4 linked regions of the Notamacropus eugenii genome follow. The protein of the gene in region 1 interacts with the protein of each later gene in a biochemical or structural test. Links are inferred from orthologs where the notes say so. Each region holds a gene or a part of one and is shown on either strand. Other genes may lie near its edges. The genes, in order: TBP, DRAP1, BRF1 and AHR.

Region 1 (6,909 bases):
ACATACTAAAAAAGCAGAGACTTCATCTTATCCACAAAGGTGCATATAGTCAAAGCTATGATTTTTCCAGTAGTAATGTATGGCTCTGAGAGTTGGACTATAAGAAAAGCTGAACACTTCAGAATTGACACTTTCAAATTGCGCTGCTGGAGAAGACTTTTGAGAGGCTCTTGGACAGCACAGAAATCAAATCAGTCAATACTTAAATTAATTCAGGCTATTCAGTGGAAGGTCAAATATTGAAGCTTAAGCTTAAATAGTCTGGGTCACATAATGAGAAGATAGAACTTACTAGAAAAGACTCTCATGATGGGAAAGATGGGAGGCAAAAGAAAATGGGGACAGCAGAGGATGAGACAGATAAATAGTGTCATGGAAACAATGAATATGAACTTGGACAAACTTTGAGAGATAGTGGTCTGTAGCACTAAAGGAGCCTGTAGTGATATGGTCCATGGGGTCATGAAGAGTGGGACATGACTGAAGAGCGACAAGAACAACAACTTCCTGACTCCAGGTCCAATACTCCATCCACTGAGTCACCTAGCTGCCTCATGTGTCTCTAGTACAGTATTTTTCATGTAGTAGATATGGAATATAATATGAACTGAATATGTGAAAAATGTACAGACATAAACATTTAAAATAAATTTTACTTATCAGCTGTTCTTGGTGATCAAAGATTTCTTAAGGGGAAGGCTCAACTTAAGAAGTAGTTAATAGTATGTGAATGATAGAACTCAAACAAGCATGATCTATCAATAATGTTTACTAAGTACCTACCTACCATGTGCTAAGTTCTGCATCTACAAGAGAAAATCTGTTAACAACTATAGAGAAATTTAAGATAGTGTTTCAACTTGGGCTATCACAGTAGCATAGAGACTAAAGACCCATAGATTATGGAGTTTTGGAAGTGGCATTTATTTCCTAAATTATACAGTATATTGAAAAAATTATCAGTTCCCCAGCGGGATGTTAATGTCGCTATACCTGCACCTCAGCATTCCAGTTCGAGAGTTAATTTGGACAAGTAGAAAGGGTTAGAGAGGATCTAGAATAAGGCCAAGCTCCTCTGAAGTAGGCTAACTTTTTTAAGAGGGAGGAAGGAAAAATAAAGGACAGAGGAATACTAATTACTCTGTTCTCTCACTTGCTGATCTCATCAGTTCCCATGTATTCAATTACTGTAGAAGACTCCCAGATCTAAACACTTGACCCTCCTCTTTCTCTTAAGCTCCACTTGCTTCAAGAAGTGTTTACGGGACATTTCAAATTGGCTATCCCATAGGTATCTCAAACTCAGAAAGTCCAAAATAGACCTTTCTTCTCCCCCCACCAATCAACTTTTCTTCCGGAACCTTCCCTGTTACTGAGGACAGCAGTCACACCAACCACATTCGCTACTCAGTCATTCAACCCCACATAACCAACTACCTTCCATTTCTTGTCTCTTTTATCTTCATATTATCTCCTCTATATGTTGTCCTCTTCTCTCAACTAACACAACCACCACCCTATTGAATGAATTACGCTAGCCTTCTAAATTGGAACGTCTCAGGTATCTCTCCATTCTCCATACAACTGCCAACGTGATCTTCCTAAAAGCACAAGTCTGACCATGTCCGCTTCTTCATGACCCCATGGACACAGCACACCAGTACTATAGATACGGGAATGGTTTGCTATTTCCTTCTCCGGTGGATTTGGGCAACCAGAAGTTAACTGACTCGCCCAGGGTCACAAATCTTAGACCAGATTTGAACCTCCAGGTCCAGTCCACTGAACCACCAAGCTGCTAGGAACCATGTCAGTCTCTGAATCAATAAATTCCGGTGACTCTCTATTACCGCTGGGATCAAATATACATTCCTGTTCATTTAAAACTCTTCGAAACCTGCCCTCTGTCTTTCCAGTCTTCCTAAACATTTTGCTTCTGCAGAGGCTCTGGAGGTCAGCTGTAGTGACCACCTTGCTGTTCTCCCCTTTCCGTGCAACTGCACTAGCAATCCCCCACCACTGGAACGCTCTCCCTTCTCTCCCCCTCTGAGACTTCCCCGCTGCTACTAAGTTACCCTGACTGCCGTCTGCATCTCGTACGGACTTTTACAGGACCGTGCTGTCTTCCCCGAGGGGCTCCCACTGTTTGAAAGGCACGGGCTGTAGTCCATCTTCCTTCCTATGCCCCCTTTTAGCACGGTTCCCAACCTCTAGGAAGTCACTTAGTAAGTGGTTTGTGGACTGACCCAGCGATTTCATGGGTATAGAAAGGTTCAGAAAACGCCATCATCTCGAACCATCACCTACAGAGAACGTAAAGGTGTGAGGGCTGCTCGGGGCACTGAAACTGGTCCAGGGTCACCAAGACGCCGGGAGTCAGGGGAATCCAGGTTACCCCTCGGGTCCTATCGAGGTTATCACCCAGGTCCGCCTGCAGCGAGCCGCAGGCACGCCTCTTCCACGGGTCACCGGCACGTGCGCAATCTTCCCTCCGCACTTTCCCCGAGCTTTGGAGGAAATTACCGGGAAACGGCCCCAAGCCCAACAATGCCCTGGGCCGGGGGACCGATCGAGCGGCCAGCGGCTGCCGCGTCCAGGGCCCGGCGCGCTCCGGCCGTGAACCCCCGAGCACCTCGCGCCTCCCTCCGGTCGTTCCTGCAGCGCCCCCCGCCCCCCAGCCGCCTCCCGCGCGCCAGCCAACCCTCCTCCCATCCCCCACTTCCCGAAAAGAAGCCCGCGCGCGACACGGCGGCCGTCGCCTCGACCGCCCCCACCGAGTCCACTCCCTCAGCTTTCCCCACCTCTTGACTCTCCAGCGAGGGAAGAAATCAAAAGAATGATACCTAGAGTCTCTAAAGCCACCGCCGCGGCAGGTGAAACCCGAGGTCGGGCCGGAGGCAGTCTCTCCGCCCGCCACGGCGACCCAAGCCTACCCGGCCTTCCTAACCTCCCGGCGCGCCGAGTGACGCCACTTCCGCCATCTTTCCGTTTAGCTTCACTCTCGCCTGCGGCCATTGACTTATATAGCCATGTTCAGTGTGGGCAGTCATATCACTTCCGGAAACGCTCCCACGTGACTGGGAGTGGGCGGTGCTAGGGAGGTGTGTGGGCGGAGCTGGTAGCTAGCTTAGCTCTTGTGGTGCTGCAGCCTTGGTCTCTGGAGCGAGGCTTGAATAGCCGCTACTTGTGGCACTTGGGTCTTTCTGGAGAGGCGCGTGTTCACGGCACCCATTCCCATCAGTTGAGCGGGGCCCTTGTCACTCTGGGTGCACTTTGCCTGGGACTGTGGTTTTCAAACTTTTTGTTAGCCACACCCCTCCTAAAATGTCTTTATTACTACTCCACCCCCTCCTTTTTATAAAATAATCAGGTAAATAATTGCCATTGTAAAGGTTTTATGAAGATAAAATTAAGGAAAAAAGAAATCAAAAAGTTAAAAATCCCTAAGTAAACACTAACACATAAAAATAAATCCCATAAAAAGCGCGTAATTGCCTCAATTCAGGTTTTATACAAATAAAATTAAGAAATCACTGCTCCACCCCACTTCTTTTCATAGAATAAGCAACAAAACAGTTCTCTGTAGGTATCTGGGGGCAAAAGAGATGGGCTTGGCCCGGGCCTTTTGTTGGTAGTCAGCTTATCCAAGATCCCCAGAGTTTTCTACCCTGAGACCGCCAGCCAGTTCCAGTTTTACGTGCAAAGAAGCTAAAGGCTTCCTAAACTCACATGATCGTAGGCAAGCTTAGACACATCCACCTCAAAGTTAACGTTTGGTCACTTTGAAAAAGGCTGCCAGGGACCCGGTCAAACGCTCACGTGGCAGTGTTGGTGGATTGGGAAGAAAGAACATAACCTATTCCTCCACCATCTTCATGAAGAATCTAGAGATAGCTTATTACTTGTCCAATGGAAGAGTTGAAGCAAAGACACTGAAGCTGTTTCTTCTTTTAACTAATATGGTATCTCACCCCCTACTTCTGTCATGGTGGCATGGAGAGAACTAAGAAACCCTTCCAAGGTCATCCAGAATACCTAGTTATTTCAGTGCCAAGTTACTCCATGACCAGAAGTAGACCCCAAAGTTCCCCACTCTGGTCAACTAGAGGGCAGCTAGATGGTTCAGATGACAGGGCACCAGGCCTAGAGTCATGGAAACCTAATTTCAAATCTAGCCTCAGATACTAACTGTGTGACTCTGGACAAGTCACTTAACCTGGTTTGCCTCAGTTTCCTCATTTGTAAAATGAGCTGGAGAAGGAAATGGCAAATCATTTACCAAAAAACCCAAACAGGGTCATAAAGGGTCAGACACAACTGAAACTGCTGTCCAACAACTTGGTCAATCAGAAAGAAGGGCAGTTCTGAGGACTGTTCATGGGATAGCTCTAATTCAAATTTCCCTAGCCCCAAGTATTTATTGATAAACTCTTTTATATTTTGTATCCTTTACTCAGATCTCTCCCTCCCCTCAACATGGGAGTCAGTTTAAATTGACTAGATTCATCAAGGTAGGAGGGCTGACCTCAGATCAAGTCAGATTTCTCTATTGGTTTGCTCCCATTTAGAAATTTCCAGCAAAGCTAAGACTTGGATCATGTTTAGGGTCGTCTCTTGGTTATCAAATGTGGAACGGTTTTTGTATGTCCTTAATAGAAACTGAATATACACAAAGGACTCAGAGTTAGACATAAATAATAAAACACTCAAATATTCTATGAGAGATGATGTTTAAATCCTTGGGAACTGGTGAAATTACCAAGTTTCTATGCAGATGACTTGCAGACCTATATATCTAGTGCCATTCATTGCCCTGATCTCTGATCTTGCATTGCCAATAGCCTATTGAACATTGCTTTTAAAAAATTATATTTCCTTTTTTTTCAACAAGTAAAATTCCATCTTCTCTCCTTCTTTGAGGATGAAAGGAAGAAAGCTGTTACAAACAAGTTGTTACATGGTACAAACATGTAAAGTCAAACAAAACACATAGCTGTATGGGCCACATCCAAAAAACCTTTGTTTTATTCTGCACTCTGAGCCCTTCATCTCTCTATCAGAAAGTGAGGAGCATACGTAATTGTTAGTACTCTGGAATTGTAGTTGGTCATCACACTGATTAGCGTCCTTAATTCTTTCAAAGCTGTGTGTCTTTACCATGTTGTTGTCATTGTATGCTTCATCTATTCCAGGAATTCTGGTTAAATTTTTTTTTGGCCTATGCTGCATTTTTCTTTGTAGTTGTTTTGAGGTAATTTTCTTCTGAGTTTGTCTTCAGCATCCCTATCACCATAAAAACTCTTCATGATGGGATTTTTGTTTGTTTATTTTTCAAGCTTCCTTTCTGACTTTAGACTTAATTTTAGGGCCAAGATCTGTACACTTTTGGAGGGAATATCTGAGCTGCTTCTACTGCTACTTTCTTGGCATATTGAAATGTTGTGTTACTTCATAATCTCAGGAACAACTCAGGCTTGGAGTTTTCAATACTCCTAAAATTGTCTGATTCAGTGCAAAGTCTGATAGCTGCCTGCTTAGTCTGACCTCTGAAACTTCCTGGTGTGGGTAGTAGTAGATTACTGCTGGACTCAGCTATTATCAGCCATCTGAGAAATGCTGCTGGTTGAGAGTAACAGAATTGTAGGCTGGCCTTAGCTCTGGAATTCCTGCCTTGGTTATTACTCTGCAAGTTTCAGGGTGGGCTAGAAGCTAGAACTGAGACCCCTTTCTCCTCCTGGGATCTGAGCCACACTGCTGCTGCTTGCTTCTCATCTCTTTATACAATGTCCAGCTTCTCACCCTCCCCAGTTACCCCTTATAACCACTTTTTTAAAAGAGGAAAAGAAAAAAATTCAGCAAAATTGACATAAAAAAATCAGATATTTTATGTAATATTCTTCACTGATCAGTTACCCCAATGCAAAGGAATGTGTGTGGGGGGGGGGAGGGGGCAAGGAAATGCCTTTTTATATGTTCTTTTTGAAGCAAGGTTGGTCTTTATGATTTTGTACCAATATGGTAATTTTCACAAACTTTTTTAGAACTGGAAGGGACCCCAAAGATCATCTCTTCTCACCCTCCCCAGTTTCATGGAGGAGAAAATTGAGTCTGGGAGGAATTAAGCAAATCAATCCAAGGGCAAAGCTGGTACTTTATTTATTTTAGCTTTTACAAAAGAATATTTTTATGAAGAAGATATCGGAGAAATAAAAGCACAAACCCCTCCAAAACCAAAAGTACACTGTTCCGGACCAGCTCAGTCGCTGAAGAGTTATTAAACATTTTCCCCACCAAGTGCACTTTACTCGCAGAATACAATGTCTTGGCTGCCAGGCCATTCCATTGTTGGGTTGAGTGAAACAGACCAACCCTTAGTGCTGGCTCCTGATGAAAGCTGGTACTTTATCTATTTTTAAAATTTATTTATTTGTTTTTAGTCTTCAACATTCACTTCTATAAACTTTTGAGTTTTGAAAGCTGTAGTTTAACAGCAGGCTCCGAGCTGGATCTGGAGGCAGAGGGCCTGGGTTCGAATTTTGCCCTTCCTTACCAGTCAGACCCTGGGCAAGGCACTCTGGACCTCACATCTTCATCCAAGAATGGGGGGTGGGAGGGAACCTCTCCATCGTCTGGGTAACTCTCCAACACCGGAGACAGGTGAGAAGGTGCGATTGCGTCGGTAGAGGGAGCTTGCTCCTCCGGGAGCTCCCAGAGCCAGCGTCAGGAGAGGTCAGTAGGTGCCAGGGCTGAACCTTGAACCCGGGACTCCCTTTCTCCAAGGACAGCTCTTCAGCGGAGGCCTCTGGGCTTGTGCTTGTTAAGGGCAGCACTTGAACGCAGGACTCAGAGGTCGGTTCTGTATTTTTACATGGTTTGAGCTAGTAAAGCTTCCCAGAACAGGTAAGGCCA
Region 2 (7,833 bases), about 250 Mb from region 1:
GGAAACTGGCCGGACTTCAGTGAAACCATAAAGAAAGGAAGCCTCCCTCCCCCTTTCCTCCCTTCACCGAGGCAGAGGTGCACAGGTCTGGAGTGCTGTAGGTTCCCAGACTTGTAAGATTTGATCGCGTCTGCTGATTTTGTCTCTTTAAAAATGTTATCTGTTTTATGGGACATTTCTTTGGGAGGAGGTGGGGTGGGGGGATGCCCTGAGATGAACAGAGACAGACAGAGAGATCTGGGGCTTCACAGTGCCTGGCACACGATAGCAAGCTGAATAAATATTTTGTGACTGTTCCACTTTGTATATGGTGCTGGTTAGATTTTGGAAATATTTTCTCTGAAACACAACACCTTGCTAGGGTGGGTCAGAGGAGAATGGGGGAATGTCCTACTGTAGCCCCTTACCTTCGGGTTCCTTTCTCCCCATCCAGGTGATTGTCTTCTCCATCTCCCTGCATGTCGGGCACGGCGGCAACCAGGTCCTTCAAGAAATCAAACTTCTGCTCCAATTCAATACATTGTTTCCTAGGATGGGAGATAACAGGGGCTGAGCTCCTCCTTCAGGCTCCAAAGGAAGGGGGACTTGGGGGTGGGGGGAACTGAAGGGCAACAGAAGCTCTTGGGATGAAGAACTGGAAGGGGCCTTAGGAGCTTTCTAATTTAACCCCCTAATTTTACAGCAGAGAAAACTGAGGCCCAGAACAGGTTTGGCTGAGGTCAGGGGCAGAACAGAGATTCCAATGTGGGTCTTTTGATTCTGAATCAGATGATCTTTTCAAAGGTGAGGGAGGCAGAGGGAAAGGGTGAGGGTGGGGCAAGAAGGAGAATGGAAATGTGTCCTATGGGACCAAGGGGGAAGCCAGAGTTGGGGAGCAGAGTGGGGCCTCCCTGGCAGGACTCACAGGTGACAAGTGGTCATGGTCTTGGCATTCCGAGACTGGGTCACTTGACAGGCTTTCTTGAGAAGGGATTCCAAAAACAGTTCTAATGCCCTGGCTGAGGAGCTGGTCAAGAAAAATCAGGGAAGCCTGACGGAGCCCTGAGCCCCTCAACCCTGGCTTCCTGAGCCCCCAGCCCCACTGTCCCCGGCCACCTGAGCCCCCAGCCCCTCTGCCCTCAACCTCCTGAGCCCCCAGCCCCTCTGCCCTCGACCTCCTAGCCCCAGCCCCACCGTCCCCGGCCTTCTGAGCCCCCAACCCCTCTGCCCTCGACCTCCTAGCCCCAGCCCCACTGTCCCCAGCCTCCTGAGCCCCCAGCCCCACTGTCCCCAGCCTCCTGAGCCCCCAGCCCCTCTGCCCTCAACCTCCTGAGTCCCTAGCCCCACCGTCCCCGGCCTCTTGAGCCCCCAACCCCTCTGTTCTCAACCTCCTGAGCCCCCAGCCCCTCTGTCCTCGATCTCCTAGCCCCCAGCCCCACCGTCCCCGGCCTCCTGAGCCCCCAACCCCTCTGTTCTCAACCTCCTGAGCCCCCAACCCCTCTGCCCTCAACCTCCTGAGCCCCCAGCCCCTCTGCCCTCAACCTCCTGAGCCCCCAGCCCCTCTGCCCTCGACCTCCTAGCCCCAGCCCCACTGTCCCCAGCCTCCTGAGCCCCCAGCCCCTCTGCCCTCGACCTCCTAGCCCCAGCCCCACCGTCCCCGGCCTCCTGAGCCCCCAGCCCCTCTGTCCTCGACCTCCTAGCCCCCAGCCCCACCATACCTGACCTCCTGAGCCCCCAACCCCTCTGCCCTCAACCTCCTGAGCCCCCAGCCCCTCTGCCCTCGACCTCCTAGCCCCAGCCCCACTGTCCCCAGCCTCCTGAGCCCCCAGCCCCTCTGCCCTCGACCTCCTAGCCCCAGCCCCACCGTCCCCGGCCTCCTGAGCCCCCAGCCCCTCTGTCCTCGACCTCCTAGCCCCCAGCCCCACCGTACCTGACCTCCTGAGCCCCCAACCCCTCTGCCCTCAACCTCCTGAGCCCCCAGCCCCTCTGCCCTCGACCTCCTAGCCCCAGCCCCACTGTCCCCAGCCTCCTGAGCCCCCAGCCCCTCTGCCCTCGACCTCCTAGCCCCAGCCCCACTGTCCCCAGCCTCCTGAGCCCCCAGCCCCTCTGCCCTCGACCTCCTAGCCCCAGCCCCACCGTCCCCGGCCTCCTGAGCCCCCAGCCCCTCTGCCCTCGACCTCCTAGCCCCAGCCCCACTGTCCCCAGCCTCCTGAGCCCCCAGCCCCTCTGCCCTCGACCTCCTAGCCCCAGCCCCACCGTCCCCGGCCTCCTGAGCCCCCAGCCCCTCTGCCCTCGACCTCCTAGCCCCAGCCCCACTGTCCCCGATCCTCCCCGGCGGCCCAGGATACAGATGATGACTGGCACAGCCGCCGCCACCTTGCCGATCTCCTCGTCCGTCTGCATGATCTTCTTGATTCTGGCCTTGGGGTGGGGGAGGCAGAGATCAGCTTCGAGGAGGGGTACCAGGGCACCCCCCTCCGGAACCTCCATCATCGAAGGATGTCCGGGCGCTGGGCCGGGGGAGAGGGCGGCCCGGTGGTGCAGCGGGGACGGGAGCGGGGACCGCTGGGGGCCCAGGTGTGGAGCGAGAGCCGGGGGAGGGGCAGGGGCCGGGGCGGGGGTCCCAGGGTGGGGAGGAGCTGGGGGAGGGGCCCCCGGGATCCCTGGGCGGGGCGGGGTGGGACCCGAGGGAGGGGGCGGCTACGGGCCGGGCCAGGAGGGCCCAGACGGGGCCGGGGCTGGGGGCGGCCGCGGGGGCCGGGTCCTCACCGGTGGGAAGCGCGCGTTGTATTTCTTCTTTTTGCTCGGCATCTCGTGGCCTCCTGCTGCCGCCGCTGCTCTCGCCGCACCTCGGCCTCGGCCCTCCGGCCCCGGCCCGGCTCCGGCCCCGGCTCCTCGGGCTCCTCGGGCTCCGCCGCCGCGGCTCCTCCGGCTCCGGCTGCGGCCCCACCCGGGTCCTAGCGCCGGGCCTCTCCGGCGCCTCCGGGTCCTAGCGCCGAGCCGCCGCTCGCTCCTCCGGGTCCTAGCGCCCCCGCCACCGCGGACGCTCCGCCCCGCCTCGCTCCTCGCGGCCGCTTCGCTCCGGCACCTCTCCTCCTACAGACCCGCGGAGGACGACGTTCGCCCCGCCTCCCTGCTGCGGGAGGAACGCCTTCAACGGCCCCGCCCTCCGCGAGTTCACGCCTCCGCGGAGGGGCCCTGCTTCCCATTGGTCGCGTCCTCTGCCACGTCCGGAGGAGTTTCGCTCCCCCGTCCCCCCGCCCCCTCTGTCCTGGCTGTCCACGACCGCGGCCGGCGGTTGCCGATAAAGTTGTTGTTGAGGCGGCAGGCGGCCCAAGATGGCGGCGGCCGTAGGGTGGGCGGAGCGGAGGGCCCGCGGCGGAGAAGAGCCCCGGAGAGAGCGGGGGCCAGGCCGGGTTGGCACGGAGAGGAGCGAGAGGCGGAGGTGACTGGCTCTTGAGGGCAGGCAGCGGGGTCGCGAGACCGGAGACTCGGGCCAGGGCAGCGGCCGTGGCGGGGCGTGTACGGGAGCCGGGAGGGGCCAAGGCCGGGGGGAGGGGCGGGGAAGAGGCGAGCGGCGGCGAGCGCCTCCTCTGGCGGGGGAGGGGAGGCGGGGCTCGGAGGAGCCGGAGGGGCGGGGCCGACTGTGGCTCCCCGAAGGCGAGCTGGCGACTTGGCTGGGATCCATCCGAGGGCTTCTCTCCTTTAAGAGCTGGGGGCGGGGGCTTAGTGATTGGGATCGTCCTCTAGCAGCCAGGGCCGAGCGGGGGTTGCCGTGCGCTTTCCCTGCGTTCATTCATTCGGGTCTCCCCACCCCCTGGGGAGGGGCAGGGGCTAGCATCATCCCGATTTACTGACGGGGATACCGGGACAGGGAGCAGCCACGTGAGTGTCCGCATTTGAACTCGGGGCTTCCCAGCCTCGAGCCGGCGCTCCACCCACTGGGACACCCCGCCCTCTGTCCCTAAAGGGCCACAAAGAGCGGGATGGTAGGATGGCACTGCAAGGGACATCCTTTACAGGGGGAGGGGTTCTTGACCCTGCTGCAGGCACCCAGCTCGCAGGTGGGGGTTCCGGGGCCTCACCTTTCCTCCTCCCCGCAGGATGGAGCTGCCGGAGGAAGAGATCCCCCCTGGGGGCCAGGAGGATGGCTTCACGGCCGAGCATCTGGCTGCTGAGGCCATGGCAGCCGACATGGACCCCTGGCTGGTCTTCGATGCCCGCAGCACCCCGCCTTGTGAGCTGGACTCCTGGCTGGCTGCCTACCCTCCTTCTCGTGTCTCTCGCTATGGGGGCCCCAGCGCTCCCAATCCCAAGCCTGTGGGCTGGATTGCAGTGTATGGGCCTGATTTCTCCCCTGGAGCTGGGGATGTCCAGGGACTGCAGGGGGCTTGGGAAGCCCTACAGGCCAGCGGGCGGCCCATCACACCTGCTATTCTGCGGGAGTTGGCCCTCACTCACCAGGTCCTGACCGGCAAGTGGCTGATGCACCTGAGCCCCGGCTTCAAGCTGGACCATGCATGGGCTGGCATTGCCAGGGCTGTGGTGGAGGGGAAGCTACAAGTGGCCAAAGTGAGCCCCCGGGCCCAGGAAGAGGAGCGTCAGGTCATCTGTGTCTACACAGAGGACTTCACAGACCAGGAAGGAGTGCTGAAGGCTGATGCCGCCATCCGGGCAGCTGGGGTCAAGTGCCCACTGACCTATAAGCCAGATGTCTACACCTACCTAGGAATCTACCGTGCTAACCGCTGGCACCTCTGCCCTACCCTCTATGAGAGCAGCTACCACCTGGAGAGTGACCCCCACTACTCCCGAGTCCTGGACAGGCTCAACAACACAGCACTGACTTAGGGGGGGTGGGCACTCGGGTGCTGGGAGCCAAGACATCTAGGGTGGGGAAGGCACAGACAATCATTCCGGCCCTCTGGGGCAGCTCTCTGGCTCTTAAATCAGTCCCCATGGCAGGGCGGTCTGCCTTCCTGGCTTTGGGGACCAATGTCAGGCCTCAGGAAAGGAGGGGAGGCAGAGACGTGACATTATTCCCTGTGTTGGTCCAGTCGATGGAGGGCCAACGGGACCCTGTTCCTCAGAGTTTCAGTTACTTGCCCAGAGCCTTGACTGGGCTCCCTCCACCTGCTTAGAGCTACTCCACCCCATCCCTGGATGGCAAAGCACCTAGGAGTTGGTGGAGTGTTGCATCTTGGGATTGGTAGTCCTGAGTGTGGACGGGGCCACCAGCAGGGGGGGCCCGTGGGGTAGGTGCCTGCTGCTCCCTGCTCTGCCTGCAGTTCCTACAACCCGTTCCTCTACTATTCCTTCCCTGGCTTCAATAAAGCCCACCTTTGTTTTCAGCCCACCCCTCCCTCCTGCTCCTCTGGTTGTCAGATCCAGGTGGCAGCTGGTCAGCTCTGATGTGATGAGGAATGGGGTTAGGAGGCTTGCTGGGACCAAGGAAGCCACAAGCCTGACTGTGTGCTTCTGGTTTTCAGCCACCACTTCCAGGATCAGCTTGATGATGCTCTGGCATGAAAGCCCCTCACAAGTGCCAGTCTTCTGACACTTTATTCCTTCCCTCAAATCTCATAATCCAGGTATTGGTCTGTTCTTGCACAGGCGGTACCACCTCCCAACTCCAGGCCTTTGCAAAGCCTGGTTGTGCCCCGTGCCTGCAGTGCTCTTTCTTCAACCTCTGCCTCCTGCCTTCCCCAGCACCTTCACTGCCTTCCTTTCCTTTACACTGTATATATCTTGTGTCCCAGTCATTAATACGATGTCTCTTCCATTTGAATGTGAGCCCCTGGAGGGAGGGATGCTGTTTTTTGCTTTTCTTTGTCTCCACAGCTTTCCTTTGTCTGCACTTAGCACAGTGCCTGGTGCCTAGTGAGTCCTGAATAAATGCTTGTTGACTGACTGAGTCCTGCAACAACTTTGCTCGCTGCCTTGTGGTACCTCTAGGCACGTAGTAGTTTACAGAGAGCTTTCAGTATATTCTCATTTGATCCCCAGAACAGCCTTGTAGGGAGCGTAGTGAGTATCCCCATTTTACAGATAAGGAAACTGAGGCACAGAGGTCACATGACTCAAACCTATGTCTTCTAGCTTCCAATCCAAACCTCTCTCCTGCCTCTCAGGGCAAAACTTAATTTAAATCAACAAGCATTTATTATGTTCCCAGAAATGGGCACGAGGCTCTATGCCCCATGCTGGGCATAAAAAGAAAAATGAACAGCCTGCTGCCCTCAAGGAGCTTTTGTTCTACACTATTTCCACAGACAGTGTTCTCATAAACCATTTTGTTCCCACCTGTTGGGAGTCATTGAAGACCAGGCCCCTGAGTTAGGCCTCAAAGCAGGGGGAGGAGGGAGGCAGTTACAGCCAAGGGAGGGTTCTGAGCTGGGGGAGATTTCAAGTTACCTCCTGGCTTATTTGTAACATTGCATGTGAGAATCATATGGGGATCCTTGAAAGATGAAAATAGTAGAGTCCTCCTGTTTGGTTCAGTGAGCCTCTGATGAATGATGAGAAATGGATGCTCCCCAACAGAGGCCTTTGCCACATCCCCCCAGGATCCCTTCCCTCGAGAGAATGGCATCTCCTAGAATCTAGATGCTCCCCTTGGCAGAGTCTGCTGACTGCACTGAACTGCATTTGGCTGGGCATCCTCAAGAGCGCACACACAGTAACTATCTAGGCAGGAAAGCCAAGTGGATGAAACCTGTCTGTGGTCTGGGTTGACGTGCTTAGGTAGACGTTGGATGCCGTAAAGGTGCTGACTTTCATTTGGGAAATTGTGCAGTACTTTTTAATGATCCCCAAGGTTCTCACTAAAACCAACCAAAAACACCCACCTTTCTTTAAATGCCTTTAAAGTGCTTCTACTCAGCTGTATGGCTGAATATCATGGAAAACTGTCATCTCCCAAAACATCAAAATTACAGGCCACCCAAAGAGCCATTCGAGATGCTTGGTAGTGTAATGGATAGAGCCCTGGACCTGGAGGAAGGAAGACCTGAGTTTAAATTCAGTCTCAGACATTTGCTAACTGTGTGACTCTGGGCAAGTCACAACCCCTGTTTGCCTTAGTTTCTGCAACTTTAAAATGAAAATAACAGTCCCCTTCCAGTCATCACCAATGGAATCTCATGCCCTTGAAGGATTGGAATAATACATTTTTTTCTGACCCTTTTGGAGGGATCCCTAAGCCAAAGAGTGATTTTTTTTTTATTTTTAAATTTTATTGATACCCTTTCATTTGTACAGAACAGATATTTCCCAGAGTACCTCACTGTACCCTTTTAAGCTGGTGCACTTCCCCAAAAACCCATTGGATTGAGCACAGAAAAGTCAGGGAGATGTGTCCCCTAACTGGTGGCAGGGTGAAAACTCTGACAGCTATCCTGGCCGTGAGTTCTTTGCTTTTCCATAGTGACACTATTGGCACAATTTTGACCCTATTTTCTTTCATTGACATTACTTCCTTTTTCCATGTGATCCTCTGGATTTTTCAGATTCAGCATTCCTTAAAATACAGGAATATTCCTTTACACTCACAGACTAGCCCCTAGCTGTTGGGCGCATATCTTTGTTTATCACAAATAATGCTACATCAACGCTATGGCATATCAGGAGTTATTTTTTTTTTCTGTCATTAACCTCCTGAAAGTATCATCCCAGTTGTGGGATTTCAGGGTCAAAGGGGACAAACAATTTAGTTCTACGTCCCCCTACCTCCCCGGGCAGTTGGACAGTTTCACTAGCAATAAATTAGTTTGCCTACCTTTCCCCAACTGCTCCTGCAATGAAATTGTCCATTTTTTAGTATCTTTGCTACCATAAGGTGGAATTCATTCAAAA
Region 3 (7,334 bases), on another chromosome or scaffold:
TACTCTGATCAAGACAATGATCCAAGGCAAATTGCTTTGTTATTTTATAATTTTCAACATTCATTTTAAAACAAATTTAAGTTCCAAATTCTCTCCCTCCTTTCTCCTTCACCATTGAGAAGGCAAGCAATTTGAAATACATGTGCAGTGATACAAAACATATTTCCATGTTAGTCATATTGAAAGAAAACAGACCAAAAAAAAAAAATGAAGAAAAATTTTAAAAGCAAAAAAATAGTATGCTTTCATCTGCATTCAGATTCCATCAGTTCTTTTTCTGGTGATAGATGTCATTTTTCATCATAAGTGCTTTAGAATTGTTTCATCCAAGACAATTCCAAAGGAACCATGATGAAAAATGCTATCCACCTCCAGAAATAGAATGAACTCTAAATGAAGATGGAAGCATTTTTTAACTTTATTTTTATTGTTTTCTTTCATGATATGGCTAATATGGAAATGTTTTGCATGACCTCACATGTATAATATAAATCAAATGGCTTGCTTTCTCAAGGAGGGCAGAGGAGAGGGGGAGAAAGGGAGAGAATTTGGAACTCCAAATTTTTTTTAATGATTGTTTAAAAAAAATTTACATGTAATTAATTGAGAAATATTTCATGAAATAAAATAATTTTTTTAAATTCATAACTGAAAATACTTAAATTTTAGTGAAAACTGTAGATATAATTTTTTTCACATCCAAGTTCACAGACCCCCTAAAACAGATTTTCAGGAGTCCATGAACCCCGGGTTAAAACCTTTCTATTACATGGTCTCTGGGTTCTCTTCCAGTTCTAGGTCTAAGATCCTAAACCCAGGAAGACTTTGTAAGAAGAGTGAGAAAAGCAAATTCAACAGAACAATATCAACATCTATAACAATGTAAATAAAAACACTTCATAAAAAAAAGCAAAACTAAGGTAAGCAACAAAATCCAGGTCAAGTACACCAATCAATGTCGATATCCAGTTAAAGAGGGAAGCACACATCCTCCCTTTCTGTGAACATACAGTAACCACAAACACTGTAAAATGGCATATAATATTGGTCCTAATCATATTAGGTGATTTGGGGAAAATAATTATTGATGATTCTTGCTTTGGTTATTCCCTGGGAAGTATCTGCTGTACCAAAACACCATGTAGCAAAACAACAAAATTTGAAATTGTAGTATATCATTGACTTTTAAAATTCTTATTAAACTCAAGAATTTTACAAGTGATAAAAAGAAAAAATACAAGAAAACTGCTGTCATTTTTCTGCTCAACTGCCTTTTATTTAAGATAGCACAATGTAGCAAAAATGTAAGATCAGCAGTCATAAGATCTAGACTCTAGTTCTGGTTCTACTACTGGTTGTGAAGTCATTCCTCTCTGGACCTTAGTTTCCTGCTATGTAAAATAAAAGGTTGGCCTCGATCATTTGTAATGCTAAGATTTGAAGACAAAAGGATAACTTTTCCTTTTTTTCTCTTTCTGAACAAACCTAAAGGGCAGCAAGGCCTAAGGCTCTGTTTCCACTCTATTCCCTTCCATAAATCTACTTTTATCTAGAATGTTAAACCCTGGAACACAGAAACTGCCCGGTATTTAGATGCTGCTCTACAGCCTCCTGGTGGAAGGTGATTTTTGCCTACCTCCACGTGAGTCAAGCAATGATGTAAAAACAGCATAGCAAAACGAGTACAGTTATGGACCTGGTGTCTGGAAGAATCTAGGTTCAAATGCTATCTGTGATCTTTCTAACGTGGGCAAGTAGACTCAACTTAAACCTCATTTTCTTCATCTGTAAAATGGGCCTGGTAAAAATAATAACTCCTGTCGTTATCCATCTCACAAGATTATTTGAGAATAAATGCGATAGCGTATATAAGCACTTTGCAAGCTTTAAGGTGCAACAGCGGCAGTTAGGGTTCCGTCTAGTGATCTTTCTCTGTGGACTGGGTTTCCCTCTGCTTTGGGAGGGTCCCTCCTCCAGCTCCGCGATTAAAACTCAGATGCTCGGCAAGCTCAGGGGTTATTCCCCCTCCTCTGACACCTCTCCTCAGGGGCATGTCAGCTCCAGAGGAAGCCCAGGCCCTCCTAGCACTTCCAGACCCCTTCTCGGACCCACCGCACACTTCCCTCCCCACCACTAAAAAAATAAAGAAAAAAAAAGAAAGGAAAACGACCCCGGAGCTCCACCTGTCAGTTCAGGCCAGGGCCCGCCCCTCCGGGCTCAGGGCTCAGGGCCCCACACCTCCCGTAGGGGCCTGGCCAGGCGGGCTCCCCAGAACTCAGTCAAATCCGGACCAAATTCCGTCCCAGCCGCCTCCCCTGGGCAGCTGCGGCCAGTACGCCCCACGCTCCTCACCGTCCAGAGAGACGAACTGCCCCACCGCGGAGGAGCCGCCGCCGCTGTTCTCCACGAACTGCACCTCGGAGACGATGATGTTGTCCTCCAGCACCGAACCGCAGCCCGTGCAGACCGCATCGCCGCGGCCCGGGTCGAGCTCGATGTCTGTGCCGCCGCAGCTCCGGCACACGCGGCCCGTCATCGTGACCCCCACCAGGCCCTCGGCCGCTCCAGCCCAGGCGGGTCCCTCCCGGGCCAGGTAAGCGCTCGGTGCCCCAGCCGAGGGCCCCGCGGTGCCGATCCCCAGCTCTTCCAGCCCAGGAAGCCAAGTCCCGTTTGGGCCTCTTTCTTCTCTCGCGATGCTGCCGGCGCCAAACGGTCCCGCCCCCTCTGCCTCCTTCCCTCCTCCCTTCTCTTTCTCCTCTCCCGAGGCAGAGGGGCCGCTGCGAGGAGCTGCGAACCGCCCTCGGAACCGTCACCAACCGCCGGCGCCGCTGCCTGCGTGGGGCCGTGCTCCGGGACGCTAGGGGCGGGAGGAACTAGGATCTCAGCCGGGAAGCGGCCGGGTTCGGCTCGAGTTCTCGGCACCTCCTAGCCCTGGTCGGCCGCCTAGCGTCGTAAGCGAGTAGGAGCCCCGTTGGCTCGCGTCCCGCCTCTGGGGAGGAGACCTAACGGGGCGAAGGCGGTGGAGGATGCGCTTCCTCGTCCTGCTCCTCCTCCTCCTCCTCTTCCTCTTCCTCTTCCCTCGCGCTCGGCTCAGATGTTCTGCAGAGCCACAGCATCGCTGCTGGGAGCTGCGAACCTCAAGAAGCGAAGCCGACTCTGCCTTCGGAGGCCTTGCGTTCTGCTGGCGGATGCAGACACGGAGCCAGAGAAGGAAATCCTTGGAGAACACTGACAGCAGGAATGTCAAGGGAAACCAGGCGGAGCGGCTCCTCCGATGGGGACCAGAGCACCTTCATGGGATTGTTCTGAGCGCCGCATGAACTGATGCAACGTAAAGCACTTTATGAACAAGTTAGGGCTGTTGAATGTGATGAAATACTGTTGTGTCCTAAAAAATGGAGATGATTTCACCCAGGAAGACTTATATGAACTGATGCAAAGTGAAGTGAGAACTTAGAGAATAATTTACAGTTACAGCAAAAATTTAAAGATAATCAACTAGGAAAAGCTTAGTAACTGATCAACACAAAGATCCGCCACAGTTCTAAAGGATTCAGAATAGACCTCTCTAATCTCTTCACCGCACCCTTCTCCAAGGGAGACTTTTAATTCCTACCCGGGTGGAGACTCAGGTGGTTGGGGCCAAACAGAGAGGGTCCCTGATTAGAATTATATCTTCCAGCTTACTTAAATATTATTGGTCTAAGGGATGTGATTTTCCGGTACAATCTAAATTCTGATCACTTATGACTTTTGGGGAGAGGCAGGACACCCTTCTCCCCTCCCCCGTTGGCAAAATAGGAGCCGAAGAAAGTATACATAAGAGAACATATACTGAGTCCAAGTTTTACAGAACGAATCCTTTTGTTAAGGGGATTTGTTCTGTAAAGTTTGGGTTCAGTCAAAGGGCTGGACTTGAGGACCTAAAGGGCTACATGGGGCCTCGAAATCCCAGATTCCCCACCCCTGTTATACAATGCAATGCAAAGGGGCACTGCAATTGACCAACTATAACTAAAAGAGAGATGGAGAGCTATAGCCTAGTGAAGAAAGCTAGGGAGAGGGGATATGATGGAGACTGCCAGCTCCTCTTGTGTCAGCTTCTTCTCAGAGTCTTTTCCTTCAGGAACCTGAAATGGGGTTGGCATCTTCCATCTTTCTCTGGATCTGGAAATCAGAAATTCCTGAAACTATAGGAAGCAACTCCAAGAAGACTCAAGAGCTCTCCTCCCTCCTCCTGCTCTAGCCAACTCCTCCCCACCCCTGAGACAAACTCAGGACATTGATGTCTACCAATGAGGAGCTTAGATTACAATGAAAAATGCTATCTTCCTCTAGAGAAAGAACTGATGAAATCAGAGTATAGACTGAAGCCTATTTTGTAAAGTTTGTCTTGCTTTTTTAAGAACATGACTAATGAAAAAATTTGTTTTGCGTAATTTCATATTTGTAATGGGTTTTGTATTTCTTGCCTTCTCAAGTAGGACAAAAGGTAGAGGGAAGGAGAGAATTTAGAACTAAAAATAAAATCGAATAAGGTACTTTACAAATGAGCTGAGCCTTGAAGAAAAACAGGAATTCTCCTATTTTCCTCTTTCCTTTCCCTTCACATCCCTTTCCCCCTCCCAGATGATTTGTTCCATTCTTTCCCCTCATTTATCTCACTCTAAATTTAGAGCTATAGTTTGTTTCCTTTGCCTTCATTATTGTCCTCCACATGCTCTTTTTCCTTTGATTCCATTCTCCCACACTGCTTCTTCATTTTCTCATCCATTGCCTTTTCTCCCTTCTCTTTTCCTTCCCTTTATCTTCATTCTTTCTCTCCCTCCTTCTGTCTGAAGTCATTCTGACTCCTCCCAGAATGTATTCTCATTTTTACTATGCCCATTCTTTACTAGCTATAATTCTCATTCTCAAAGTCAATGCTGATCATCTCATCTCCATTCTCATTCTCCTCTACCTCTTACCTACATTTTCCAACTCATAATTTTCATTCTTCAAGCCCTCTCTTCGTTTCTCTTCCACCCCCAAATCCTAATTCTATTCCTCTTCTGCTCTCCAGACCCCTACTGTAGTTCCTCTTCAACTTTTCTTCATTCTCTCTTATTCCCCTTTATTCCCCACCATTCTTCTTTACCCTAGGATCTGTTATTCTCCTTGGCATCTTCCATTCTCTGTCCTATAGATCAGGGGTTTTTAACCTGGGGGTCCATGGACTGAACTTGGATGAGGAAAATAAATCTCATATTTTTATTCACTAAGGGGAAGCTATGTGGCAAAGTGGATAAAGTTCTGAGTCTGAAGTACAAAAGTTCAAATTTGGCCTTAGACATGTACTAACTGCATGACCCTGGGCAAGTCACTTAACCCTCTGTTTCATTTTCCTCATCTAAAATGAGCTGGAGATGGTAATGGCAAACCACTCCAGTATCTTTGCCAAGAAAACTCCTAAGGGTTTGCAAATAGGCAGACTCAAATGAAAAATAATTGACAACAACATATGATTAATAAAATGATACTGAGTTAAGCTAGCATTAACCAATGAATAAGGTCAATGACCTCTCAATGAGCAAAGACCCTGATTGGGTCTTTTAAACCTAAGTGTGTCTTCCTTCTGATTGGCCTGACAGTTCATCATGTGGACTTCCCCTGGCAAAGGTAAAACAATCCCAATAATAGATATTTTAATAAGGAGGTGGATTAAGTGTTGCCTAAACTCCTTCTGGCTGGGAGACTAAACTATAGAATTAGTCTTCATTTGGGAAAGATGTGTTGACCTTCAGGTGCTGATCAAGCCCCTCTTTAACAATTAGGGAATGCAAATTGATTTATGGGACTCAGCTGCCTCTACTAATCTAGAAAACCAGAACCACCACAATCAGGATCCTTTCCTTCCACCCCATTTAGATTTCCTCTTGGAGATCAAATTACCTCTAAATTTCACAAGGAGAGGGAAGGACAGTCCCCTAAGTTGATTCTTGGTTTATCTGTAAACAAAGCAAGGCTCCGACTTTAAACTGGTTAGCTAGCAAATGCCCCAGAGGATATTCAACCAGCCTTTAGTTGGAATTCAGAGAGACTGTGTTTTGAACTAGACTGAGAAATGAGGTTTGACAAAATGAAGAATAGGTTGAATAACAGAGTAATATTGATTATTAAATGACACAACATAATATTAATTGTTCTAGTTTTCCCCTTTGATTCACTGAGAAATGCGGTTTGCTCAATGAATCACTAGCTAATATGCCAATTATTAAATGACATCCAACATATCCACATTTCAGACTTGATTTACCAGGATACAAAAAGACCAGAAAGCACTAAACACTTCATCAAAGACTGTTATTATGAAACTTAAGTGTTTTACTAATATAGAAATAGTGTGTGCATGTGTGTGTGGGGGTGTGTGTGAAAGAGAGAGAGATTGACCTGAACAATTGACAGGAACCATTGTGAACCATCTCCTTCAGTAAGCAGAATTTATAAAAACAGTGATGCATGGGAAAGGAATGAGAGGAAAGTGTGACATTTGGTCTTTTAGTAATCCATTCCCACTGTACATTTCATCAATTCATCTTATCTTATGGTTCAGACATCTCTTGCAGCTGTCTACTTTCTAAAAACATGTAATATAATCATCAGGTTTTTCTGGAAGCTTCTCATCTTAAGCATTCTGGAATGGGCCTATTCTCAAAGCAGTTTCTCTTAGTAGATCTGCTTCTCTGGTTCAGATCTCTTGTAGAAATTCTTAGATGTTTCTGTTAAATCTTTTGCAAAACAGATGTCAATGCAATTTAATGTGGTCAATTTAACTTTGCTTTGCCAACATGTGGTGAAAATTAGCTCAAACCTTATGGCTCTGATCCTATTAACCCATAGTTTACTTGATACTTTGGAGAATTTAAGTTTTTAGAGTGCTTCTGTTTTTGTTGTTTCTATCTTTACCAAAATCTTTTACTTGATTTAGACACGGCCAACAACAGGCTGAAGGGAGGATCTAAAAAAAATCCCATGAGGAGCTGACTTGTAAAATGAGTCCTTCTGGTTAATGATTTTATATTTACCAACATGGACTTATAAACTAAAGTTAGGAGTGTTTTTCTAAATTGGCATTGACTTCACCATCATTTAAATTCTTAAGATAAGAATTCATTTATTTCATTCTTCTCTTAGGATTCAAGTCCCACAAAAGGGAAAACTTCAATTTTATTACCTATAACTTCACTGTAACAGAATTTAGCAAATTATTATGTTGATATAATTGGGAAATTTAAATGACAGCTGAGAAATCAGAACCTAACTAAGCCTCTTAGACTGCCTGATTTGTTCAGAAG
Region 4 (7,388 bases), on another chromosome or scaffold:
AGGAGTATATTAAAATGAGAGCTGCTGTATATTCAAAGTCATTAAACTTCTCCAAAAAAGTTCTAAAACTTACTCATATCCTCAGTCGAGTCTGATCTGAGGTCCTAAAAGACAGTACAGAGAGAGCTATGCAGAGAGTGCTCTCTGGAGGGAACCATCAATCCATCAACCACAAAACTCTGGTACCCTTAGAAAGAAAGACTCAGGAAAAAGATTTTTGAGTTTAAGACTTAAGTGCTTAATGCACTGAAACCAAATTGACCAGAGAGTTTTTGGAACAAGTTTTAGGACGTGTCCCCCAAGAATTTCTGTGTAGGGTGAGCCCTCTCCTCTAGTTTTAATGACCTGGTGATTTGTAGTCATCTTTAAAATGAGAATAAAGTCAGTGAAATGATTATCTTCTCTCCCTCCAATGGGCACTGAATAAGACTCTGACTGGTGGCTTTTCTTTAAGCATGTCCAGTGCCCACACCCTGTCCTGCAGCCAAAGGGTCCCCTGCATACCAGGACCCTGTCCTTCCTACTGCCCAAGTGGATCATGCAGTAACCATCGGCCTGGAGGTATTTGTGATGTTAGAGACTGGATAACTGCAGCAAATCCTCCCTTAGTAATAAAGAAGTTGGAGAAATGGGGAGGTGAAGTGGGCAAAGGGTCCTAATCCATTCCATTCTTCCTATCGTCTCACTTGTCCTATCTGGAATACAACATAAACAGTGTGATCTCTATGGACCAAAGATGACCGAATGTTCCATACCGAGTCTTTTCTTTCAGAATTAAACACAGGTTTCTAATAACTTCAGAACTAACTTTGTTTCTCAGATGGCATAACAAAAAGAATATTAAATAGCAAAATATAAAAATATCACTTTATCATATTTTTAAAAACTTGCCTAAAAGAATAATAAGTATTTTATTAATGATTATTTTACGAGCTTTATCCTGTGATCTGACACATAGAAAAATAACCAAAGGATCTATGGAATCTAGAATACTTCCACACTTTCCATCTACTCTATTAATAAACATATGAACAGGGACTGTGCACATATCAACAATTTAAGCATCATTCATAAATAAAATCTAAAATCTACAAGCACATTTTTGAAATACAAAATATCTTACAAGATGCAAAGTGTTTGCTTTTGTTTGAGTTATCAATGCAACTACTCTTCCAATCATCAATTTACAATACTCTCAATCCAGGCAGGAAATCCCAGCCTCAGCTAAAAACCTCATGTAATGCACACTGTCTAAAGATGCTGCTGTCAAAGTTAGTGCATGCCATTTTAATTAGTGCCTATTTATGGCACAACTATGGAGTTCATATGCTAACGTCAATTTAGGTTTTTCAGAGTTAACTCTAAAGAAGTAAGATCACCGAGACCAAAGAGGAAATTTTTAAAACTTAAATGGGCTATTTCATGTTCAAAGAAACTTCTTTGAAGTTAGTTACTTCGAGCTACTTCAAATCATCGGCGTGCAACTCTTTTTGAATGTTTGTGCACAAGGAACACTTCCAATTTTACAAAGTATGGTTGCGAAATCCACTGTAATCCTCCTTATCAGTATTTGAAAATGTAAGTGACCTAAATATATTAATACTAACAAATGAAAATATAGGAATACAGCTAACTCTAAGAATGAATGTTAGATGTAAGAGAGACTTTTTTTTTTTTTAAAAAGAACTTTTATACATCTGTATACTTGAATCACCCAAGGTGTGCTTGCAAGGAGAGGGCCGAGCCTGAACTCAGGAAAACAGACTTTCAAATCACCTCTCTCCTAAATACTAGCTGCGATCTCCCGGCCAACTCACCCCTTCGCAAAAATCCAGCTAACTCTCCAAGCCCACAAGTTACAATGAGTTAGAGATGTACATTGCTGGAGGGAATTTCCAGACTGCGAATTCCTCACCACTCTAAAATTACTATTTTCAACAACATGTAAAGAAATCTGTTCTTTTGTACTCTGAACAGAGAGCCCCTGGAAAATTCTCAAGTTCAGGAAAAGAAAGACCCCCCCCCCCCAACTCGCCACTGTATCCAGTTTGTAGATTTCACAGTGAGAGTCTTTCCATTACACTTGCGGGGGGAGGGGTGTGGAGGTTTGGATACAATTTGCTACAAACATACCCAGCGCTCCAGGACCCGCCTGCGGTGCCCATACTCGGGCCGGCTTAGGTGAGCTCCCGCACCCAGGTGCCCGCTGCCTCTACTATTTCCCACCCACGAAAGTGAGGCGACAGCCCGGGGTGGGGTGTGGGCACCGCGGGGAGCTCCAGAAGCCGCCCAGCACATGTTTGGCCCCACTGGCCGCGCGCCCCAAGAAACTCCGCGGAAGCTGTCGGGGCTCGGAGCCCGCGCTCCCACCGGGCTCAGTGAGAAGGGCCCCCGACAGAGCGCGCCCCGGGGAGCCCGCGGCCCCTGGCTCTTCGATTCTCGGGGGAGAAGAGCCGTCAGGGTGCGTGCGTGTGTGCCAGGGGCACCGATCGGGAGAGGGGCAGGGGGCGGGCACGGACCGCGGGCCGACCCCGCTCGGTCCCGGGCGGCCAGGGACGCTTACGTTTTCTGCACCGGCTTCCTTCGCTTGCGGCTGGCGTAGGTGATGTGGGCGCCGCCCGCGCCGCTCATGGCGCCGGCCCCGCGGGGTGCGGGCTGCGCGCGGGCTCCGGGCGGCCGCAGGTGACGAGCGCGCGGCCGCAGGTGAGGCGAAGGCTGCGGGCGAGCGCGCGCAGCGGGGGGGGCGGGCGCCTGGACGCAGGCGCACAGGGCTCCGCTCTTCAGCCCCCCGAGCGCCCAGAGCCCCCGCGAGCCCAGCTACACCCGGGGGGGGGTGGTGGGAGGGGGCCCCCCCCAGAGGGCACGGCAGGGGGCCCGCGCGAGTCCTCCGCCTCAGGGCCTTCCTCGGCTCCTGCCGCCCGCCCGGGACCTTGGGGCCGCCGCCGAGGCTGCTACTGCTGCCGCCGCCTCAGACGAGTCACCCTGAGCGCTCCGTCCCCTCCCGGCCACCTCCAAGCAGCCTGACAGCCGCACCCTCCGGCCCCGCCCCTTCGCGCCCCGCCCTCCCAGGCCCCGCCCCCGCACTCGGGGCTCTACCCCCCCCCCCGGCCCCACCCCTATTGCTTGCGTCACGGCGGTAGACGTGCTGTCCCTCTTCCGGCGCCATCTTGATAAGGTCGGGAGCGAAGCTATGCGTTCCCCCCTCCCTCCCCGCCAAGGATGCTGCAGTTGTCTCCTTGGCTGCTAGAAGGCAGCTCGGCACTCGGCCCGAAGCCCCCCGGACGTGTGCTCACACACCCTCTGGGTCCACTTTCTGGTCAGTGGTCAATGGCCCTGAGCCTCAGTTTCCCCTCCGTGAAATGGAGCCTCTCCAGCTGGGCTCAGTGCGTGCAAAGTCCTGGCGGCCAACAGCCCCGGCCCTCAAGGCGCTTCCACTCTACACCGTGCCCTGATTGCCTGGGCCCGGGGAGTGGGTCTTCAGGGCAGGCTGTCAGCGCACAGCTGGTAGCTCCACGCTGACCCCAGGTGCCTAGGTTCCCTGAGCACCAGTCCAGCCTCGCAGTCCCGCGATGCCCGCATCCCCATTGTGGTGACAGTCCAAGCTTGTTTTCTACATCTCGCCTTCCTTAACAGCTGAGATGCGGAGCATCTGGAGACGGCTGCACCTGAGAGGTGGTTCCTGAGCAGTCTGCAGGGGCACCAGGGATTCCTGGATCTCGAGGAAGAAGAGGAGGGCAACTCTAGTCTTGGACCCGGGTGCCAGTGTAGGATCTGCCATTTCCTCCCAGTTCTCTCATGACCTTGGGAATGTATCCTCTCCCTCTCCACTTCATTCCCCTCCTCTATTCAGTGCTTTGTGCAGGTTTGATTTGTGAATCTGATCATTAATGGCTAAGTCCTAAAACTGAAAGAAGTGAAAACAAAACAAAAAGAAAACCACCTGCAGCGGTGCTGAGTTCCCTTTAGACACTGCTAGAGTAGCGATGTCTTGCCGAAGCTTAGCAGGTATGCAGGAGAGGAGGGTTTTAATAAAAGCATTCCTCCTACCAGGTCTTAGCAATGCACTCCCTAAACTGTCCCACTCAGGACTGAACACAATAGTGCCGCTGTCATCTGCCCACGTCAATCACCTCATTATTCTAGGAGGCCATAAGACTGTATTTTTTCTTAAAGAAAAAAAGATAAAAACCAGGCCCATATCCCATTGTTAATGCCTGCTTGTAGCCTCTTTCTGGAGAATTGCAGTCTGACCAGATTCCCTCATCTCATTCCTGTGAAGTTGATCCAGGCCAGAGGTACAAGAGATGTCGAGGTTGAGACCCTTGTCAGCTACATAGAGGGGAACATTAGTGCCACAGAGGTGTCAGTGAATGCTGTGGTACTGGATGACAAATGTAAAGAAAAGAGAAAAGTTGTGGGGACATAGCCATAGGGGAAACCCACCTTTAGATCCTATGGGGAAGAAAGACCTGCAGGGGACAGAACTGCACCCAGCAGAGAGATGACAGAAAGCCAAGATGAGCTGGGGGGAAGAGAGTGGTGGTGCATGAGAGGATAACTCAGTGGTGCCATCAGCTTCAGAAAGTTAGGACTGATGGAGGCTGGCAAAGCTATTACTGTGCACAGCATTTTAGAAAATACATTAATGAGATGGAGAACACCCAAAAGAGAGCACCACAATGGGGAAGGAAACTTAGAGGTTATCTAGGCTGATGCCCTAATTTGACAAATAAGCAAACTGAGACCCCATTGGACTAAGTGACTTACCCAAGGTCACACAACCTGTAAGTGGCAGAACTTCGTGCCTCAGATCCCTGAGCTCCAAATTCAGCCCTCTTGCCACTCAAACTTACCATCTCAAGTACATGCCTTCTGAAAAGAAGTCTTAAACCCAGAGAAGAGAGGGTTTGGGGCATTTGAGATTTGTTTTGAAGTATTTCACAGAGGAGGAATTTGCCCATCTATAGTTTGTTCATAGAGGTTTGCATGTTTTCTCCCCATTAGATGGTGAGCCCTTACAATACTAGACTTGTTCTGCGTGGCTCCAAATAATAGAAAGGGTGAAAGTCACTACAAGGCACATTTAGTCTTGGGAGCAGGACAGCCTTCCTGACGGAGCTGTCCAAGGTCAAAGGGCTCTGTTTGTAATGGACTCCCCCTCAATGGGTGTCTTCCTCTAAAGGCTGACCAACCACTTGTCAAGTGTATGGGAGGGGAAACTGGTTACAGTGGATGACTTCTGATGATTCTATGTGTGGCAGAACAGGAGTCAGCTCATTTTGTGGCCTTCAGGGGAAGTTTCAATAGAGTGGTCGTGGTAGATAGATTTGAAAGAAGACAAGCATGTGAGTGGGTGCTGCAAAAGTGAAATTATCAAATGGAAATTACTCCTATGGAAACTTTGGTGGTGATAGAAACAGGAGGTAGTAACTTCAAGGGCCAACGTTGTTTTTGGTTTTTGTTTTCCGATTGGTTAGTTGTTTTTATAAGAAAAGAATGTAACTGATAAGAAAAAAATCCCCAGAGAAACCAACATATTTGTAGCAACACTTTTGTTTGGGGGGAGGATAAAGAGTTGGAAATGTGTAAATACCTCTTGATTGGAGAATGGCTAAACAAATTGTGGAACATAAATGTAATGGAAGATGACTGTGCTGTAAGAAATGACAAATGTGATGAATATAGAGAAGCATGAACAGATCTACATGAACTGATGCAAAATGAATTAAGCAGAGTCAAGAAAATAATAGATATGATGACTACAGCAATGTAAATGGAAAAACAACCACACCAAAAATCAGGAGTCAAATTTTCACCATTAAAAAGAACAAACCTGGCTTGAAGGAAGAAATATGAGAAGAGAATCAGACCCCTTTGAAGAGATGGGAGGTCCAAAGTGTTGTACATTGCACTTATTTTCAGACTTCTTCAATTTATTGGTCAGTTGTGCTGATTTTTTCCTTTCTTATTTTTAGCATTTAAAAATTGCTATTTGCAAAAAAAAAAAAAAAAAGAAATCTTAAATGTCATTTGCTATGTGAAATAGCTCTCTGAGAGGAGCAAGAATATTGGGAGAAATGATGGTGATGTAAAGAAAAAAACAGACATCAGTAAAAAACTTACTAAAAAAAAAGGAAAGAAGGAAGTAGGGAGGCCTTCAGGGGAAGGATCCAAGGGAAGAAAATTGGAACACTCCAGGAGAGAATGAATGGATACACATATACATGTACACAATGGATAAACAATAAATGTTTATTTTTAATCATTTAATGTAGGCTAAGCACCGTACTCAAAGCTGAATGAAGACAAAGCTCTGCCCTCCAGAAACCTACCTTCTAGTTAAGGTGGTATTGTTATTTCCACTTGACAGCTGAGGAAACAGAGACAAATAGAGGTTTAGTGACTTGCTCAGGGTCACACAGCTAATGAGTATCTAAAACTGGATTTGAACTCAGCTCTTCCTGGCTCCAGTCCAGGCTCTGTATCATTGTGCGATTTCATTTGACTGAGTTTTCTCTTCTGTAGAATGGGTATGATAGCATTTAGCTCCTGAGGCTCATTTGAACCCAGTTCTACCTCATTCCAAGTTCAGGACTTACATTGCTATGCTGCTGTTCATCTGATATCCTCTCGATGTTGATCTTTTCGAGGCTGGCGCTCATTTCCCCCATTCCCACCTGCACAAAGGCAATGATGTATTTATATTAATCCATCAACATTCTTTCTTCTTCTTGAGCTGTGGAAACATGTCAAGGAACCTGAATATTGGTATAAGTGTTGTCTATGGCTGTGAAATGGACCAAATGTAAGTGGGGTTATGAAATGATGGTTTTGTATCCATTAATATGATGAATGAATACATGAATGAATGAATGAATGAATGAATGAATGAATGAATGAGTGAGTGAATGAAGGCATCCCTTACTATATGCTGTACTTACAATCCCTTACTATATGCAAAGCACTCTGCTAAGTTCTGGGGACAGAACTAGAAAGGTAAGACAATGCCTCTTCTCAGGGGGCTCACATTCCAGTTGGAATAGAAGACACACTAGGAGGGTCTAGCTACAGGGCAGAGAAAACATCCCATGAGCACTTTGGGTGCTGCAGCAGAGCCAGTGGTAAGGATAGGGGATGGGCATGAGATTCTGAGCTTCTCAAGGGCAGAAACTGTCTTTTCCTTTGTCTTACTAGAGCCTGGCAAAGCATCTATCATATAGTAGGTGCTTAATTAATGTTTATTACTGACCTGAGAGCACAGCCTCAGTGGATTCAGACATGCCCCCAAAGGGAAGATCATGGTAAGGTGGATTCAGGAGGCATGCTGGAAGGGAGGAGCCCTCCATGCTTGGTTCTGTTTTCTGCCCCACCCCCCTTCTCCCCCTAGT

The links.
Region 2: the proteins of TBP (region 1) and DRAP1 are reported together in a solved structure, tested with the Homo sapiens proteins (2 studies listed by BioGRID, with this or other methods). The link is inferred for Notamacropus eugenii from reciprocal best matches to the Homo sapiens genes TBP and DRAP1.
Region 3: the proteins of TBP (region 1) and BRF1 form a complex in vitro, tested with the Homo sapiens proteins (2 studies listed by BioGRID). The link is inferred for Notamacropus eugenii from reciprocal best matches to the Homo sapiens genes TBP and BRF1.
Region 4: the proteins of TBP (region 1) and AHR form a complex in vitro, tested with the Homo sapiens proteins (2 studies listed by BioGRID). The link is inferred for Notamacropus eugenii from reciprocal best matches to the Homo sapiens genes TBP and AHR.

Annotation. Positions count from the first base shown.
Region 1 is NC_092873.1:267,361,451-267,368,359, reverse strand, and holds the start of TBP (TATA-box-binding protein), read right to left. Parts: upstream 3,021-6,909; 5' UTR 2,802-3,020; intron 2,688-2,801; exon of another isoform or gene 2,308-2,687; intron 1,530-2,307; exon of another isoform or gene 1,438-1,529; intron 1-1,437. UniProt on the Homo sapiens protein: The TFIID basal transcription factor complex plays a major role in the initiation of RNA polymerase II (Pol II)-dependent transcription.
Region 2 is NC_092873.1:18,626,688-18,634,520, reverse strand, and holds the start of DRAP1 (dr1-associated corepressor), read right to left. Parts: upstream 3,018-7,833; 5' UTR 2,791-3,017; coding exon 2,749-2,790; intron 2,401-2,748; coding exon 2,328-2,400; intron 999-2,327; coding exon 905-998; intron 528-904; coding exon 408-527; intron 1-407. Other genes in the region: C2H11orf68 (UPF0696 protein C11orf68 homolog), read left to right, coding at 3,318-3,424, 4,083-4,830. UniProt on the Homo sapiens protein: The association of the DR1/DRAP1 heterodimer with TBP results in a functional repression of both activated and basal transcription of class II genes.
Region 3 is NC_092872.1:334,325,316-334,332,649, reverse strand, and holds the start of BRF1 (transcription factor IIIB 90 kDa subunit), read right to left. Parts: upstream 3,005-7,334; 5' UTR 2,537-3,004; coding exon 2,353-2,536; intron 1-2,352.
Region 4 is NC_092874.1:10,117,986-10,125,373, reverse strand, and holds the start of AHR (aryl hydrocarbon receptor), read right to left. Parts: upstream 3,006-7,388; 5' UTR 2,632-3,005; coding exon 2,564-2,631; intron 1-2,563. UniProt on the Homo sapiens protein: Ligand-activated transcription factor that enables cells to adapt to changing conditions by sensing compounds from the environment, diet, microbiome and cellular metabolism, and which plays important roles in development, immunity and cancer.